Linked DNA regions of Ovis aries. Each later gene encodes a partner of the first gene's protein in a complex. Links are inferred from orthologs where the notes say so. Each region holds a gene or a part of one and is shown in the gene's direction. Other genes may lie near its edges.

What was found. The genes of interacting proteins can lie anywhere in the genome.
Region 2: LRP5 (region 1) and FZD8 share a complex: the UniProt entries of both Homo sapiens proteins name them as parts of the wnt-signaling complex. The link is inferred for Ovis aries from reciprocal best matches to the Homo sapiens genes LRP5 and FZD8.

The regions. Positions count from the first base shown.
Region 1 is NC_056074.1:42,193,411-42,201,141, forward strand, and holds the start of LRP5 (low-density lipoprotein receptor-related protein 5), read left to right. Parts: upstream 1-2,899; 5' UTR 2,900-2,985; coding exon 2,986-3,076; intron 3,077-7,731. UniProt on the Homo sapiens protein: Acts as a coreceptor with members of the frizzled family of seven-transmembrane spanning receptors to transduce signal by Wnt proteins.
Region 2 is NC_056066.1:26,150,903-26,158,596, reverse strand, and holds FZD8 (frizzled-8), read left to right. Parts: upstream 1-3,497; 5' UTR 3,498-4,273; coding exon 4,274-6,349; 3' UTR 6,350-7,095; downstream 7,096-7,694. UniProt on the Homo sapiens protein: Receptor for Wnt proteins. Component of the Wnt-Fzd-LRP5-LRP6 complex that triggers beta-catenin signaling through inducing aggregation of receptor-ligand complexes into ribosome-sized signalosomes.

The DNA.
Region 1 (7,731 bases):
CTTTGAGACCTGGGGCACAGTCCCGTCCCCCACAGGTGGTCTCTGGTGACCCTTAGACTGAGAGTTGTGAGAGTCCCTTAGACTGCAAGGAGATCAAACCAGTCAAGCCTAAACGAAATTAACCCTGAATATTCACTGGAAGGACTGATGCTGAAGCTGAAGGTCCAATACTTTGGCCACCTGATGCAAAGAACTGACTCATTAGAAAGGACTCTGATGCTGGGAAAGACTGGAGACAGGAGGAGAAGGGGTGACAGAGGATGAGATGGTTGGATGGCATCACCGACTCAATGGACATGAGTTTGAGCAAACTGCAGGAGATGGTGGAGGACACGGAAGCCTGGAGTCCCACCGGCAGTCTACGGTGTTGCAGAGAGTGGGACATGACCGAGTGACTGAATAAGCAGAGCCCCTAGGGTGGGCCACCCTGGGGCCCCTTCTCCTCCTTCCCACAATCAGCGCCTTTGGGGAGTCCCATTAGCTCTTCCTAAAGCACCCGGAATCCAGCTCCTTGTGAGCCCCCTGCCCCCACCTATCCAAGCTGCCATCTCTCCTGGGTGCAACTGTGGTGCCCGCTGCTGGCCAGTCCCCAGCATCTTCTCTTTCATCCTAACAGTCCTGCCCCTACTCAGCAGCCAGAGTGATCCTTCTATAAATATAAATCAGGTCTTCTCAGTTCACTCAGTCATTCAACAAACATTTATTGAGCACCTACTGTGTCAGGCCCTGGTGTAGGCTCTGGGGATACACGTGGAGTAAAGCAAGTGAAAGTGTATTCTTGTGGAGGGAAGAAAGATAAGGAAACAGTAGTCTGTCAGATGTTGGTCAGTGAAAAGGAGAAAAATTAGGCAGAGAAACGGAGCAGGAAGTGCTGGCAAGGGTGGGCAGTGCAAGGGGTGTGGTGTGCAATCTCCAAGCAGGGTCAGGGAGAGTCTGGCTGAGGAGCTGAAGATGTGAGGGAGTAAGCTATGTGGGTAACAGGGGTAAAAACAGCTCCAGCACAGAGGCTTCCCTGGGTGTCCAGTGGTTAAGAATCTGCACTCCAAGGCAGGAGGCCTGGGTTCAATCTCTGGTCAGGGAACTCCTCCCCCATCCTGCAACTAAGAGTTCACGCAGTGCAACTAAAGATCCCACATGTCACAGAGCAGTTAAGACCCTTGTGAACTAAGTCACTTCACCGTCTCCAACTCTGTGCGACCCCATGGACTGGAGCCCGCGAGGCTCCTCTGTCCATAGGATTCTCCAGGCAAGAATGCTGGAGTGGGTTGCCATGCCCTCCTCCAGGGATCTTCCCGACCCAGAGACTGAAGCTGCGTCTCCTGCCTTGGCAGGCAGATTCTTCTGCCGCTCCCTGTTGGTAGCTCAGACAGCCCTACTTCCCAGGCATTGCAGCCCAACACCCTCATTCTTCACGGCATTCCTGAGTCTGTTAGTGGTGTTTTGGTTTGTTTGCTTTGGTTTTAAATGTATCTATCTTCTTGTTTTTGTTTGTCTTCTTCCCTAGAATATAAACCCTAGGGGACAGAGACATTCTGCCTGAGCACCAGCTTTGTAAAGTTGTCACAAATACAGGAAGAATGCCTGTATCCATGGGCGGGGCTGTTCTGGTGAGTTGTCCATCCTTGTCTCAGCACCTGCAAGGTAAGTGTTCTCACTGTTTTATAAGGGGAGGAATTCCAACGACCCCCCCCCAAGAGGTTATATTTGGACCTGCCCAAGGGCACACCCCTGGGCTTCCCTGATGGCTCAGAGAGGGTAAAGAATCTGTCTGTGATGCAGGAGACTCAGGTTTGATCCATGGGGCAGGAAGATCCTGTGGACAAGGAAATGGCAACCCACTCCAGTATTCTTGCCTGGGAAATCCCAAGGACAGAGGAGCTTGGTGGGCTACAGTCCAGGGAATCATCAAGAGTAGGCCACGACTGAAGCACACACTTTCAACAAGGGCACACCTTGTAGGAAGCAGCAGAACCAGAGTTTGAATTTGGGCCTATGGGTTCCAGAGTTTGTGCTGCTCCTCGCCAGGCCTTCCTGTGCCTCCAAGGGTTCAGTAGCCGAACTTGATGCTCAGGTGGGCAGGGGACGGGGGTGGGGGCTGGGGAAGGGTGGTTCAGAGCCTGCTTGTTGAATGATCAAAGGTGAGGTCTGCATCCTAGAGGCCGCCTACAAGCATATTTGGAAAAACAACGTGTCTACCGCTCAGTCTTCCGTACCCTAGTTAATGTCGAGGGTATACGTTCAGTTTAAAAGTCAACCTCAAACCTACCCCGATTCCCCTGCAGTTTCCACCTCTCGCCATCACCTGCTTCTGTCCCTGTCCCGGCCCCGCCTGGCGGTCGCCTTCCCGGGCCCCCTCCCCGGTGAGAACAGGTGTCGGGGGCCCGCCCCGAGGAGGACCCTGCTGGGGTGGCTGCGGTCGCCGGAAAGCGCGCGCACCTGGCTCGGGGCCCCTGGCTTCCAGCCCTGAAACTGCCTGAGCGCGCGTGCCCTGGGGCAACCCCTTTCGCACACCCCGGTCCCGTGCCTCAGTTTCCCCACCGGGAGAGCTCGGTCCTGGCCGCTCTTAACAGGTGACACACCTGTTTCCGGGGCTCGATCTGGCCCCAGGCCCCGCGGGGTGCAAACCGGGCGCCCGCCCCCGCGCCCCCGCGGAGCCCCGGCGCCCGGCCCCCAGGGGCAGGGGGCGCGGGCAGAGGCGCCGGGACCCCGCGCGCGGCGGTCGCCTCGCGGCGGGCCGGCTCCGGGGGGCGCCCGCAGGAGGGCGCGGCCGGCGCGGGGGGCGCGGAGGGCGGCGGCGGCGGCGGCGGCGGGGGGCGGAGACGCGGCTCGGCTTCCGCTCCCGCGCCTCCTCCCTCCTCCCCCGTCGTCCTGGCCCGCGGCGCCCGAGGGGGGAGGCGGCAGGCGCCCGGAGCCGCGCGAGGAGCCCGGCAGCCGCGCCATGGAGCCCGAGTGAGCGCGGCGCGGGCCCGTCCGGCTCCGGACAACATGGAGGCGGCGCCGCCCCGGTCTCCCGCTCCTCCGCCGCCGCCGCTGCTGCTGCTGCTCGCGCTCTGCTGCAGCCTGGCCCCCGCCGCGGGTAGGTGGGCGCGGGCCGGGGGGACAATGGCCCGGGCGTCCGGGCGACTCGGTTGGCCCCGCGGCCAAGTGCGCCGCGCCGCCGCCGAAGCGACTTTGCAAGTTGGGGGCGAGTTGGGGCGCGCGCCGCGGGGCCCCGCCGCCCCCCGCCGCGCCCGCCTCCCGGGGGCCGCGCGCGGGCCCTTTGTCTCGCCCGCCCGGGCCCCTCCCGGGGACGCCGGGCCCCGTCCCGCGCGTCCCGGGCCGGCGAGCAGGGCGTGCGGGCGCCGCCGACCCCGCCAGGTGCGGCGCGGGCGGGTTCTCACCTGCCCGGGCCCCGAGGCGCGCTCGGAAGTGCGCTCGCCCGGAGCCGGCCGGGCGAGGCCGTGCGGGCACTGCGGGGACCCCGGCCCCGCGGGCAGGCACGGAGCGGGGACGTTCGGCCCGGAGGCAGGCCTGGCCGCCCTGCGTCGGGAACTCTTTTCCCGAGCCTGTTTCCGATGGCCGCGCGGCCGGCCTGCGAGCTCCGGGAACTGATTTAAGTCGCAGAGAAAGTTCTGAACCCCGCGCGGGGCGGCCTGGCCTGCGGCGCTGCCCCTTTCGTCTGCGTCGCTGTCGTTTTCCCAGCGGACTCACACCTGCCAGGTGTGCCCGGTCGACTCGGACCCCCCGTCTGGGCCGCTGGGGCCCCCAAATCGTGACACCCGGCGGGTGTCTACCTCCGGGGGGGCCTGGCTGCGTGGGGCCGCCGCGCGGGGTGACGGGGTCCCAGCCTGCGGCGTGGGGGCCTTGGCTGTATACACACACCCCCTTTGGGAGATCAGAGCCTGGGGACCTTTCTTTCCAACTGTTGGTGTCTCCCAAGGGGTGGAGTTGAGGTCAGGAGGACTCAGGAAACGAAGCGCCTTGTGAAAAGCTACACATGTTCTTTTAATTTGGAGATTGCCATGTGGTTTTTGAAGCAAGCCTCTCTCGCTACCTAAACCATTCTCTTCCGACGTGAGTGTTTTGTTTTTCTGGAGTGTGGCTGGCCCAGTGGACCCCGGAGCGGGAGTCCTCTGCGCCCTGGGCTGCTCTTCTGCTGGTGGCAGTTGGGGGTGGGGGGCCTTGGGTCCCTTTGTCTGGGCCTCTTTAAGGCAAACAGCTGTCTCCCTGAATATTTCCAGCGAGGACACTGCAGGGAGGTGTCCTGGCCTGGCTCTATGGTCACATTCCCGGGGCTGCGGCCCCTCCGCTGAGGTTTGGGGGGGCGAGAAGGGGTAATTCCTCAAGTCCTCTTGCCTCCCAGACCGGATCCCCGGAGACCCTTGGCAGTTTCAGGCTGAATTCGCCTCTCTCAGGAGTGTTTACATTCTTGGCCCCATCTGATACCAGCAAAAAAACAATGACAGTATCTGGGTAGTTCAGGCCGACACTACTGCTTCTCTTTCCGGAAATGCCTGGATCACGGAGGCAAAAGGGTTTTTTTGTTGGGGGGGAAGATGTTTGTTTTAAAGGTGGGGTTTCTCTGCCAGCAGAGTAGCTTTTCACTGCGTTGCAGTTTCGGATTTCCTGGACCTTGGGGTGGTGGTGTTGCTGGACTGGAGTGCCTGTCCTGCGGTTCGAGCCCCCAAGGAGAAGGATCACATTTGTGGAGCTCGGTTGTGTAGGAGGCAAAAAATAGAGTTGATTATTTTAACATTAAGGAAGCATGTCAACACGAGGTTTTTAGAGCCCTGGCTAATGTGGTAATCTGGTCCTAAAATGGAAGGAGAGGGAGGGAACTTTCTGCAGAAACTATTTTGACTGCTCTTGACATGTCATGTCCCTGATTTCTGTGTTAGATTTATGCCACAGTCCAGAGTGGAGCTAGTAAGTTGGTAGCTAATTATTTTTCCTGATTGCTTCCTGTTGCAATATGAAGGGGTGAGCCCAAGGAAATGCCTTTGTTGGAGTGATCCTAGAGCTGGGAGTGGTCGGCCCCAGCTCCAGGGCCCGGGGTCTCTCCCTTTTGGCCCCACTGCACTGGCCCCAGGACCACCCCCAGGGGAGGGAGTGGGGTGCTGCCTGCAGATGCTCACTGCCTGGCCTGCAGGTGAGCATTGAGTTAACTAAGTGCTATGGGGAGTCCATGGAGAGGCTGCCGGCAGGACCCTCTGCTTCCCAAAGCGGGGGCCCACATGCCTGTAACCCTCCTGTGCAGTTCCAAGAATTTACCCAGTTCACCCGCGCGTCCCAGCATTTGCTGTGGCCATGCCGTTGTATTTGGAACCCGTTTAATTTCAGCTGCACTGTGTCACTGCTCAGGCATTTAGCAGAATTTGCTCACGGGGTGGTGGTGGGGGCTGTAGTTAGGTGAGGACTTCCTGTCCTGCCACGTGTGCTTGCCAGGGCTAAGGTCGGGGGCCCCGGGGGTCAGACCCCTTGGGTCTAGAGCAAGGGTCCCCAACCTCCGGGATCTAATACCTGTTAATCTGAGGTGGAGTTGATGCAATAATAATAATGGAAATAAAATGCCCAGTAAATGTAAAGCATTTGAATCATCCCCAAACCATACCTTTCCCCCACCCCCCAGGTCTGTGGAAAGATTGTCTTCCATGCTATCGGTTTCTGGTACCAAAGAGGTTGGGGCCACTGGTCTAGAAGCTCAGTAGCTATTTGACTTTGGACAACTTACTTCGCTTCTGTGTATCCCGTGTCCTCACCTGCTTCCTCCCCCTGCTCAGGAGTGTAAAATACCGCCTGTGAAACCCTCTGCACGTCCCTGGCTGGGGGAGGAACTGTTGGTGGCAGAGCTGTGGTGCCTGTTGGATAATAAGGTTCTTGATCTTTCTGGCCTGGAAGGTCTAGAAGCTCTTATCACACAGTCTGGATTTTCCTCCTGTGTGGGACCTTGAACATCCCGTCCACTGTCTGACTTGTTTTTTGTGGCAGACTGGGTGAAGGGTATTGTGGTGGTGAACTGGGCTGAGCCTTGACTGTGGGGGGCGCTTGGGCAGCTGACTCCACCTTCGTGCGTCTCAGTCTTCTCTTCTGTAAAATGGGCGTAACGGAACTTCCTCCCGGTAGGTCAGCGCGTTGACACATGCCTGGCACTTGTATCATCTCTTTTATTGATGCTGTTACTGTTGGTACCTGCTGAAGCGCTGGGGATAGGATGGGGTAGAATGGTGGAGGAGGCCCGGGCCTTTGCTGTCAGGCTGTCTGGTTGACAGGGAGGCAAACAGCAGCTGACTGTGCAGCTCTCGGGGAGGTGGGCTCCGTCCCAGGACCCTGTCCATAGAGACCCGGTGGTCTCTGCTGAAAGAGGCCAGATCACGCTGCAGAGTCTGGATGTGGTCCAGAAGGCACTGGAAGCTTCCGGAGACTTTAGCTGGGGGAGGGAGATAGGAAACGCAGGGGAAAGGTGTTGAATTGATCTTTTTTTTTTTTTCTCTTTTGTTAAATTGAGGTGAAAATCATGTCACATAAAACTAATCATTTTAAAGGAGACAATTCCATGGTACATTCGCAGTGCTGTACAAGCATCCCTTCTGTCAAGATGCAAAACATTTCCGTCGGCCCAGAATAAAACCCTGCACCCTTTAAACTTCCCATCCCCCTACCCCAGGTCTCTCTGGCATTGCTTGCTCTGGATACTTCATCTGCAGGGACTCACAGGCTGGGCTGCCTGTTGCCTCTGGCTTCACGATTAGCAGAATGCTCTCGTGAGGTGTCCATGTTGCAGCGCGGGACAGCACTTTGCTCCTTGCATAGCGTGGACAGGGCACATCTGCTCATCCGTCCACCCGCTGATGGGCTGACCTTGCGTGGGTGCTTCTCCCAGCAGGCACGGGCTTGGAGCCCATTGTCCCTGTGGGGTTTGGACAGCGGAGGCTGTTTAAAGCTGGGCTGGGGACATGACCACATTAGCTTCAGAGATGGGAGAGGCCATGGTGAAGGAAGCTTGGCTGGGGGACAGACTGAGGGCCAGTGCTGGCCTCTGGTGGGGTGAGGGACCCTGGGAGGTGGACCTGGTAGACTTCGATATCACAGAAGCCCTGGTAGGAGCTGGACATCTGTGGCTTACAAGGCCTCTGGGATGGCCACACGCTCTCAGAATGGGGGGGCTCTGATGGGAGTGGGGGCTGCATCCAGCCCCTTCCTCTGCTGGGCCCGGGACATTTTTGTGCAGGAAGCAGTGGGCTGTCCACCCTGCGGGCGCCCCGGAGACACTGCGGTCAGAGCGCTGCTGATGTGGAGGCCGGTGGGGACAGCAGGGACCCAGAGAGCGGGCCCCAGGGCCCCTCTGCTGCTATGGGCTGCTGTCTGCTTTTTCTCCAGCTTGGGAAGTGGTTTGTTAACTCTGGGACTCAGTTTCCTTATCTGCAAAATGGGGAGGATGGCATGTGTTTTTTGGGGGTTCTACGAGGAGGAAGCCGCCTTTTAGAGGGTCTGTCATGGGAAGGGCATGGTGTGGGGGGAGTCCCATTTCTTTTTGTTAAGCTGTTTTTGTTTGTTAACATAGTGAAAACTTTTATATTTAGAATTAGCCAGCTGGACTCAGTTTAGATGATCCTAAGTTTGTCGGCAACATCCAAAGCATCAGGAGCCAGTGGAACGTAGGGCCGCTTCTCCCTATCAGGCCTGATCAGAGTATTGACCTCAGCCACGTCAGCGTCACAGAGCTTCGCAGCCTGTTTAATTAGGTGCTTGTTG
Region 2 (7,694 bases), on another chromosome or scaffold:
TTAAAACATATGTCACAATAATTATCCAATTAAATGACAGTGCACGTACCATTTTCCAAAATGGCAGCTGCATGTAAAGTGGAAATGTGACACCTGGCCAGTGCACTTGTTTGCCTCAGTTATCTGCATCTGTTTATAACTTGGCCTTGTTACAGCAGACATGGCAAGGAGTACTTCCTCCTGGCAGAGTCCTTCTCTTGGTGGTGGAGAAAATGGAAGCCCTCTAATAGAGTTAATTATAAATATGGAAGGATAGAAAAGTAATCTCACCCATTTTAATTCTAACAGAGCTTGGAGCAAGACCAATTAATCTCTACCTTTCCTTCTATCTATGGTTACGTGTCTCAAGGCATAACCCTTTGAAAGACAGATTCTAAAACATCAAGAAACATCAATATTGTTTGATAGAGTTTAATATTCTCTAATAATATAGACTTGGATGGTCTTACTGATCAAGAATTTTAGGTTGGGCTTTTAAATTAAAATTCACTGAAACATAATTCATCAAAGTTTCATAAGTTCACTGTTTATAATATAGTTAGTCAATCTAACTAGGTATCCAGTGTTTTTTTAACATCCCCTCCTCTCTGTTAGATTCATGCCTTCAACTTGTTTATATCATTATGCTCCTGGGCTATTCAGTAACCAGACATCTGTTCAGAAATCCCTCTAGAAAGTTCCCTACATTATTTATGTCACTACTAAAGCTATTTCCCCTCCCTTAAAAAGCAGCTGCTTTACATACAAAAGAAAAATCATTATTTAGCCAGGATGTTGATAAATGATCCTAGTTTCTTTTTGCTGACCCGTCATTGCCTTTTATACACTAATTGGCTTTCTAAGCCTCTTGTGCTCTTAAAGATTGCCAACTAGCCATTTAATTTAATAGTAAAATTTAAATGCTATTCTTCTATTCTCTCAATTAAAAGTAAGCATTTAATGATTTTATGTAAATGGGTTTAATCTCACACTCAATAGCTGATAAATGATTTTTGAAAGCTCTGAACTTTTTGTCTGCTTTTCTCCAGCAAGCTTAATATATTTTCCCCAAATTTCCACATTCCACATCATCAGAGCTTTCATCTTGTCTCAAAAGGAAAAAAAATTTTTTAATGCCAATTAAAAGCCAAAATCAACTATTTGCAGCTTCAACTTTCAAATGTCAGTTTGTTTTTACCCAATTCAAGTAAATTTATATAGTGTAATTCTAAACTCCACTATTTGACATTTCCTGCTGAAGAAAATCATAAGAAACTCTCTGTGTTGCTTTTGGAAGCAAGCGCCTCCTATCTGTGGTCAGGGACAGGCAGGGCCCAGGCTGTTCCTTAAACTGGCGGGGGCGGGGCGGGAGGGGGGACGGGGCTGGGGGGGGGGCGGGGGGACGGGGCTGGGGGGGCGGGGGGACGGGCTGGGGGTTGCCTTACTACTGTGCTTTAGCATCCTATCTCCAGGTGTCACCTGCTGTTTCTCTGCAGCTGAATGTTCTGGAGCATGGCTATCACTGAACAGGATTCCAGCAGGAGAGAGGTGACATTCTGTGTTCCACATGCCACAAAGGGAATTCCCATCAGGAGAAAGGAACGAAATTCATTTTTAAAAGACCAAGTAACAGTTGAGTCTTTGCATTTTTGAAAACTCGAGATCATTTTCTGCTGAATCAGCCAATCTTTCTGAAGCCTCAGAATTTCTGATTCCTATGCAGTTTAGCTTTTCTAAAACAAAAAATGCGAAGGAAGTGTTTTGTTTTGGTATAATAAAGAGATTCTAAACAGACCAGTTTAAAAGAAAAAAGACAATGGGGTTTTGACTACAGCCTAGTGGCTCTGCCTAGAATTCTTGGTGAAAATACCGAACTTGCCAAAAATTAGGGGTGGGGCTGGGGTGGGGGGGGTGGGAGATTCTATCTTTCTAATTAGAATGCGGTTGCTAAACTAAGCTAGAGAGAACAGAAGAGACATAGGGTCCTGCCATACACAGATGCTGCTAGTTATTTTTGTTTCACGACAAGAGTTGTTTGTAAACAGATAATTACCAACTACCACCACCACCGCATCCTCCTCCCCTCACTCCCAACCCAATAAAAAAGGCCTGGCCTCAAACGAGCTTTTAGCTCTACCTCTCCTTCGTATCCGTATCCTATCGTCCCCGTATCCTCAATAACTTTAGTTTTCTAGCCGGAGAGGGAGAAGGGAGAGGCGAGAGGAAAAGGAGGAGAGAGAGAGACAGACGTCTGCTGCCACCCTCCTGGCTAACTGAAATGCTTGTTCCCGAGATTACAGTAATTACAGCCCCAGCGTGAGTTCCATACAAGCGCTAAATGAAACAGCACATCAATTAAAAAATAAACACTCCATTCTCGGAGAAAGACAACCCCCTGGGACGTCCTAACAAGCGTAAATGAACCTGCCAGGCCTCCCGCCCCTCGGGCCCCTCCCCGTCTAAGGTAGCTACGAGCTGGCGGGGGCCTCGCTCCTTGGCCGCGTCCCCAGCCGCTCGGCCCCGGGAACACCGCGGAGACGTGTCCGCGCGTTCGCGCCAGGGCCCGGCGCCGCCTCCCACCGGGAGGAGGAGGCTCTGGCAAAAACATGTCAACTTTGGAGAGACGCACATACGTTCCAAAAGCGCGAGGCTAAGAGGGAGAATCCAGCCACAGAGTTTCCAGTCTGTCCTATAAGTTTTTCTTTCTCCCTTTCTATTTTTCTTTTTTAAAGAAGAAAGGGAATTATATCTCTTAAGGGAGCGCTTTAAATATGTCCGGATGCTTTATATATCTTATCTAGCCTAATTAGCAGAACCCCCTTTGAGATCTGAACCCCACTCTGCAGGTAAAGAAACTGACGCTGCCTCACGTCCCTCAGCTGAGGCAAGAGGAGACCCCTTTCTTCCCGCCCGCCCGGGTGCACACGCCTCTCGCGCCCGCGCCCTTGCGCTCCCGGGTACCTCTTCCCCGGCTGTCCCCTGTCCAGCCCCATCATCTAGAAATAAACTGCAGTCATGGCACTCCTCTCACATCGCCAAGCTTCCAAGACCATCGTTCTGACAATCCCAAGAAGGGCACCGCTTCCCCGTTCCCCCGCAAAGCCCCCGCGCACGCGTCGGCTGGCTGAGGGGCGCGGAGTCCCCTCGCCAGCAGGTTGCCCACATTCGGGGAGCGTAGGAAGCAGGGGCTTGACTAGTTCGAAACTGGCCTCTGAAAGCGCGCTGTATAAAGAATCCCTCAGTTCCCAAGCGCAGACTCGGGGTGAAGGAACCCCGACCTCAGCCCCACAGGGCGCCTCGGGGACGATCGTGGCAAAACCCGTCTCTGCGGTCAACCCCAAGGTTATCCAAACTCCAGCCGCAGACAGCTCGCACAGCCGAGGGGACAGCCGGGTCCGCCCCAGGAAGGCGGGGCCTGGGGAGCGCGCAGACTCCGCCCCGAGCCCGGGATTGGCGCGCCGGCCGCGGGCGGAGACCGAGTCCGCGCCGTATAAATATTCATGAGCCGGCCTGGGCGTAGCGGGGCCGGAGCGGGAAGTTGGCGAGGGACACTGCTCCCGCCGAGGAGGTGGCGGTGGCGGCGGCGGCGGCGGCGGCGGCGGCGGCGGCGGCGGTGGCGGGGCGCGGGCGCGCCGCTCAGGTGTCTGCTCCGCCTTCCGGCCTGGATTTGCCTCCGTGAGTTCAGCGAGAAGGGGACCACCGACACCTTGCCCCAGTGCCGGCAGGAGCGCGACTTCCACCGGAGGCGGGGCCCGTCATCCCGGCTGCTGACCGACGGACGGACGCCGGGGACTGAGGGCCGTGGCCTCGGTGGAGGCGGGCCTCTAACCCCGGCAGCAGCCGCGCGGCCCTGGGGGCGAGCATGAGCCCCGGGACGCCGAAAGGGGGCTGCAGGGGCTGACCCGGCTCTGAGCGGCCTGGCCCAGCCATCTTGACTGCGCACCGCGGCCCGAGAAGAAACTTGCTGCGCCTCCGCCCTCAGTGCCCGGCAGAGTCACCGGCGCGCGCGGAGAAAGAGACCGAGGGAGGGAGAGATGAGCTGGGGGCTGGCCGCTCTGTCCCGCGAGGGCTGAGCCCGGCGGGAGTGAGCGGGGCAGACGCTGGGACCACGGTGCCCTTCGGCGGCCACCCTCGTCTCCCGCAGCGCCGAGAGGAAGCATCCCGATAAGGGACTAGGCTATTGGCAGAACCCCTCCCGAGAGAGGCAGGAGAGAGCCCGGCGCTCTCGCAGGAGCCCCTGGCGCCCCTCCGCGCGCCGCCCGGAGGGCGAAGGCGAGGGGCCGAGGCGCGCAGCATGGAGTGGGGTTACCTGTTGGAAGTGACCTCTTTGCTGGCCGCCCTGGCGCTGCTGCAGCGCTCGAGCGGTGCGGCGGCCGCCTCAGCCAAGGAACTGGCGTGCCAGGAGATCACCGTGCCGCTGTGCAAGGGCATCGGCTACAACTACACCTATATGCCCAACCAGTTCAACCACGACACGCAGGACGAGGCGGGCCTGGAGGTGCACCAGTTCTGGCCGCTGGTGGAGATCCAGTGCTCGCCCGACCTCAAGTTCTTCCTGTGCAGCATGTACACGCCCATCTGCCTAGAGGACTACAAGAAGCCCCTGCCTCCCTGCCGCTCGGTGTGCGAGCGCGCCAAGGCCGGCTGCGCGCCCCTCATGCGCCAGTACGGCTTCGCCTGGCCTGACCGCATGCGCTGCGACCGGCTGCCCGAGCAGGGCAACCCCGACACGCTGTGCATGGACTACAACCGCACCGACCTCACCACGGCCGCGCCCAGCCCGCCGCGCCGCCCCCCGCCGCCGCCCCCCGGTGAGCAGCCGCCCTCCGGCAGCGGCCACGGCCGCCCACCCGGGGCCCGGCCCCCGTCCCGCGGCAGGGGCGGCGGCGGGGACGCGGCTGCGCCCCCTGCGCGCGGCGGCGGCGGTGGCGGCGGTGGCGGCGGCGGGAAGGCGCGGCCCCCTGGCGGCGGCGCGGCGCCCTGCGAGCCGGGATGCCAGTGCCGCGCGCCCATGGTGAGCGTGTCCAGCGAGCGGCACCCTCTCTACAACCGCGTCAAGACGGGCCAGATCGCCAACTGCGCGTTGCCTTGCCACAACCCGTTCTTCAGCCAGGACGAGCGCGCCTTCACCGTCTTCTGGATAGGCCTGTGGTCTGTACTATGCTTCGTGTCCACCTTCGCCACCGTCTCCACCTTCCTCATCGACATGGAGCGCTTCAAGTACCCGGAGCGGCCCATCATATTCCTCTCGGCCTGCTACCTTTTCGTGTCTGTCGGCTACCTGGTGCGCCTGGTGGCGGGCCACGAGAAGGTGGCGTGCAGCGGCGGCGCTGGGACTGCTGGCGGGGCCGGGGGCGCGGGGGGCGCGGCGGCAGGCGCGGGTGCGGCGGGAGCCGGCGCCGGGGGCCCGGGTGGGCGCGGCGAGTATGAGGAGCTGGGCGCCGTGGAGCAGCACGTGCGCTACGAGACCACTGGCCCGGCGCTGTGCACCGTGGTCTTCCTGCTCGTCTACTTCTTCGGCATGGCCAGCTCCATCTGGTGGGTGATCCTGTCGCTCACGTGGTTCCTGGCGGCGGGCATGAAATGGGGCAATGAGGCCATCGCCGGCTACTCGCAGTACTTCCACCTGGCCGCGTGGCTCGTGCCCAGCGTCAAGTCTATCGCCGTGCTGGCGCTCAGCTCGGTGGACGGCGACCCGGTGGCAGGCATCTGCTACGTAGGCAATCAGAGCCTGGACAACTTGCGCGGCTTCGTGCTGGCGCCGCTGGTCATCTACCTCTTCATCGGCACCATGTTCCTGCTGGCCGGCTTCGTGTCGCTCTTCCGCATCCGCTCGGTCATCAAGCAGCAGGGTGGCCCCACCAAGACGCACAAGCTGGAGAAGCTCATGATCCGCCTGGGCCTCTTCACCGTGCTCTACACCGTGCCCGCCGCCGTTGTGGTCGCCTGCCTCTTCTACGAGCAGCACAACCGCCCGCGCTGGGAGGCCACGCACAACTGCCCGTGCCTGCGGGATCTACAGCCCGACCAGGCGCGCCGGCCCGACTACGCGGTCTTCATGCTCAAGTACTTCATGTGCCTGGTAGTGGGCATCACCTCGGGCGTGTGGGTCTGGTCCGGCAAGACGCTCGAGTCGTGGCGCGCGCTGTGCACCCGCTGCTGCTGGGCCAGCAAGGGCGCGGGCGCGGCGGGCGCGGGTGCGGCGGGCGGCGGCCCGGGGGGCGGGGGTCCGGGGGCTGGCGGGGGCGGGGGACCGGGAGCCGGCGGGGCGGGCTCCCTCTACAGCGACGTCAGCACCGGCCTGACGTGGCGATCTGGCACGGCCAGCTCGGTGTCTTATCCAAAGCAGATGCCATTGTCCCAGGTCTGAGCGGAGGGGAGGGTGCGCCCGCGAGGTGTAGGGAGGGGGCGAGGGGACAGAGTGCTGCGGGGGGTGGGGGGCTGGGAGGAGGACACTCGAAAGCAAAGGTTTCCACCCCTTCACCGTGTTGATTGCTATTAGCATCATAATGAACTCTTAATGGTATCCATTAGCTGGGACTCACTTAGAACAAAGTACCTGGCATTGAAGGCTCCCAGACCCCACCCCCCTTTCCTCTACCGACGGGCGAGGAGTTTCTCCCGCCAGGCGTTCATTTCTGTTGGCAGGGCAGAGGAGGGTGAGCCCCGCGGCTGCGTTTCTGAGACCCAAGGGTTGGAGCCCTCGCTGGTTGCCATTTGCTGAGCTTGAAGCCAGACCTACAGATTTCACCTGAGGGACCTAAGTTTTCTCCCTCGATTCTGCTACGTAAACTCTTAACTCCTAACACGTCCTAGAGGCGGGATGAGCGCGACCTAACGGGATTGCACGGTTTGGGTATTCTTAATGACCAGGCAAATGCCTTAAGTAAACAAACAAGAAATGTCTTAATTATACACCCCAAGTAAATACGGGTTTCTTACATTAGAGGATGTATTTATAAATATAATTATTTGTTAAATTGTAAAAATGTGTAAAATATGTACATACCCAAAGATATACAGTCTGTACATTTTCTGTAAAAAGTTTAGAGGCCACCCCTGTAAGAACAAATATAAGTATTCTATTTTGTCAATAAAATGACTTTTGATAAATGATTTAACCGTCGCCCTCTCCCCCTGCCTCTTCTAAACTGTTACCTTGAACGTGCTTGTGGAGGGCCCCTCCGAAACAGGGACGTTTTCTGGTTTCTCATTATGTACACTGACCTTAGGCATGAAGAAAAATGACCTGTTAAACTCGAGTTCCTAAGTTGTCAGCAAAGTAAATATAACTGTTAAACTGAAATCAAAATGGAGGTTTTTGCACCTTTCCGAAAAGATGGTATTTTTAATGATAGCTCTTTTCTGATCCATGGATACCACTCACCTTAGTCGATGTAAATGGAACTTTTGCAAGGCGCAATTCCACTCTGGCCTTGTTATTTATCTTGTATAATATCACTAAAGGCTTCAAACCCCACACTCATTTCTCGCGTCGTCCGTGATTTTGAAAGCACCTGCTCCTCCAGGACCTAACACACTGCTGAAGGGTAGAGGTTAATGTTTTCAGCCATCAATCACACTGTACAGTGTAAGTCACTCGACAATCCGGTGGTGGAACAGGCGCTCTTTAATGGATTAAACTAACGGGTTAACATCTTAATAACCTTCCAGGCTTGTGTATATCAAATGTGCTGCTTTTCCTAGAGAAAAAA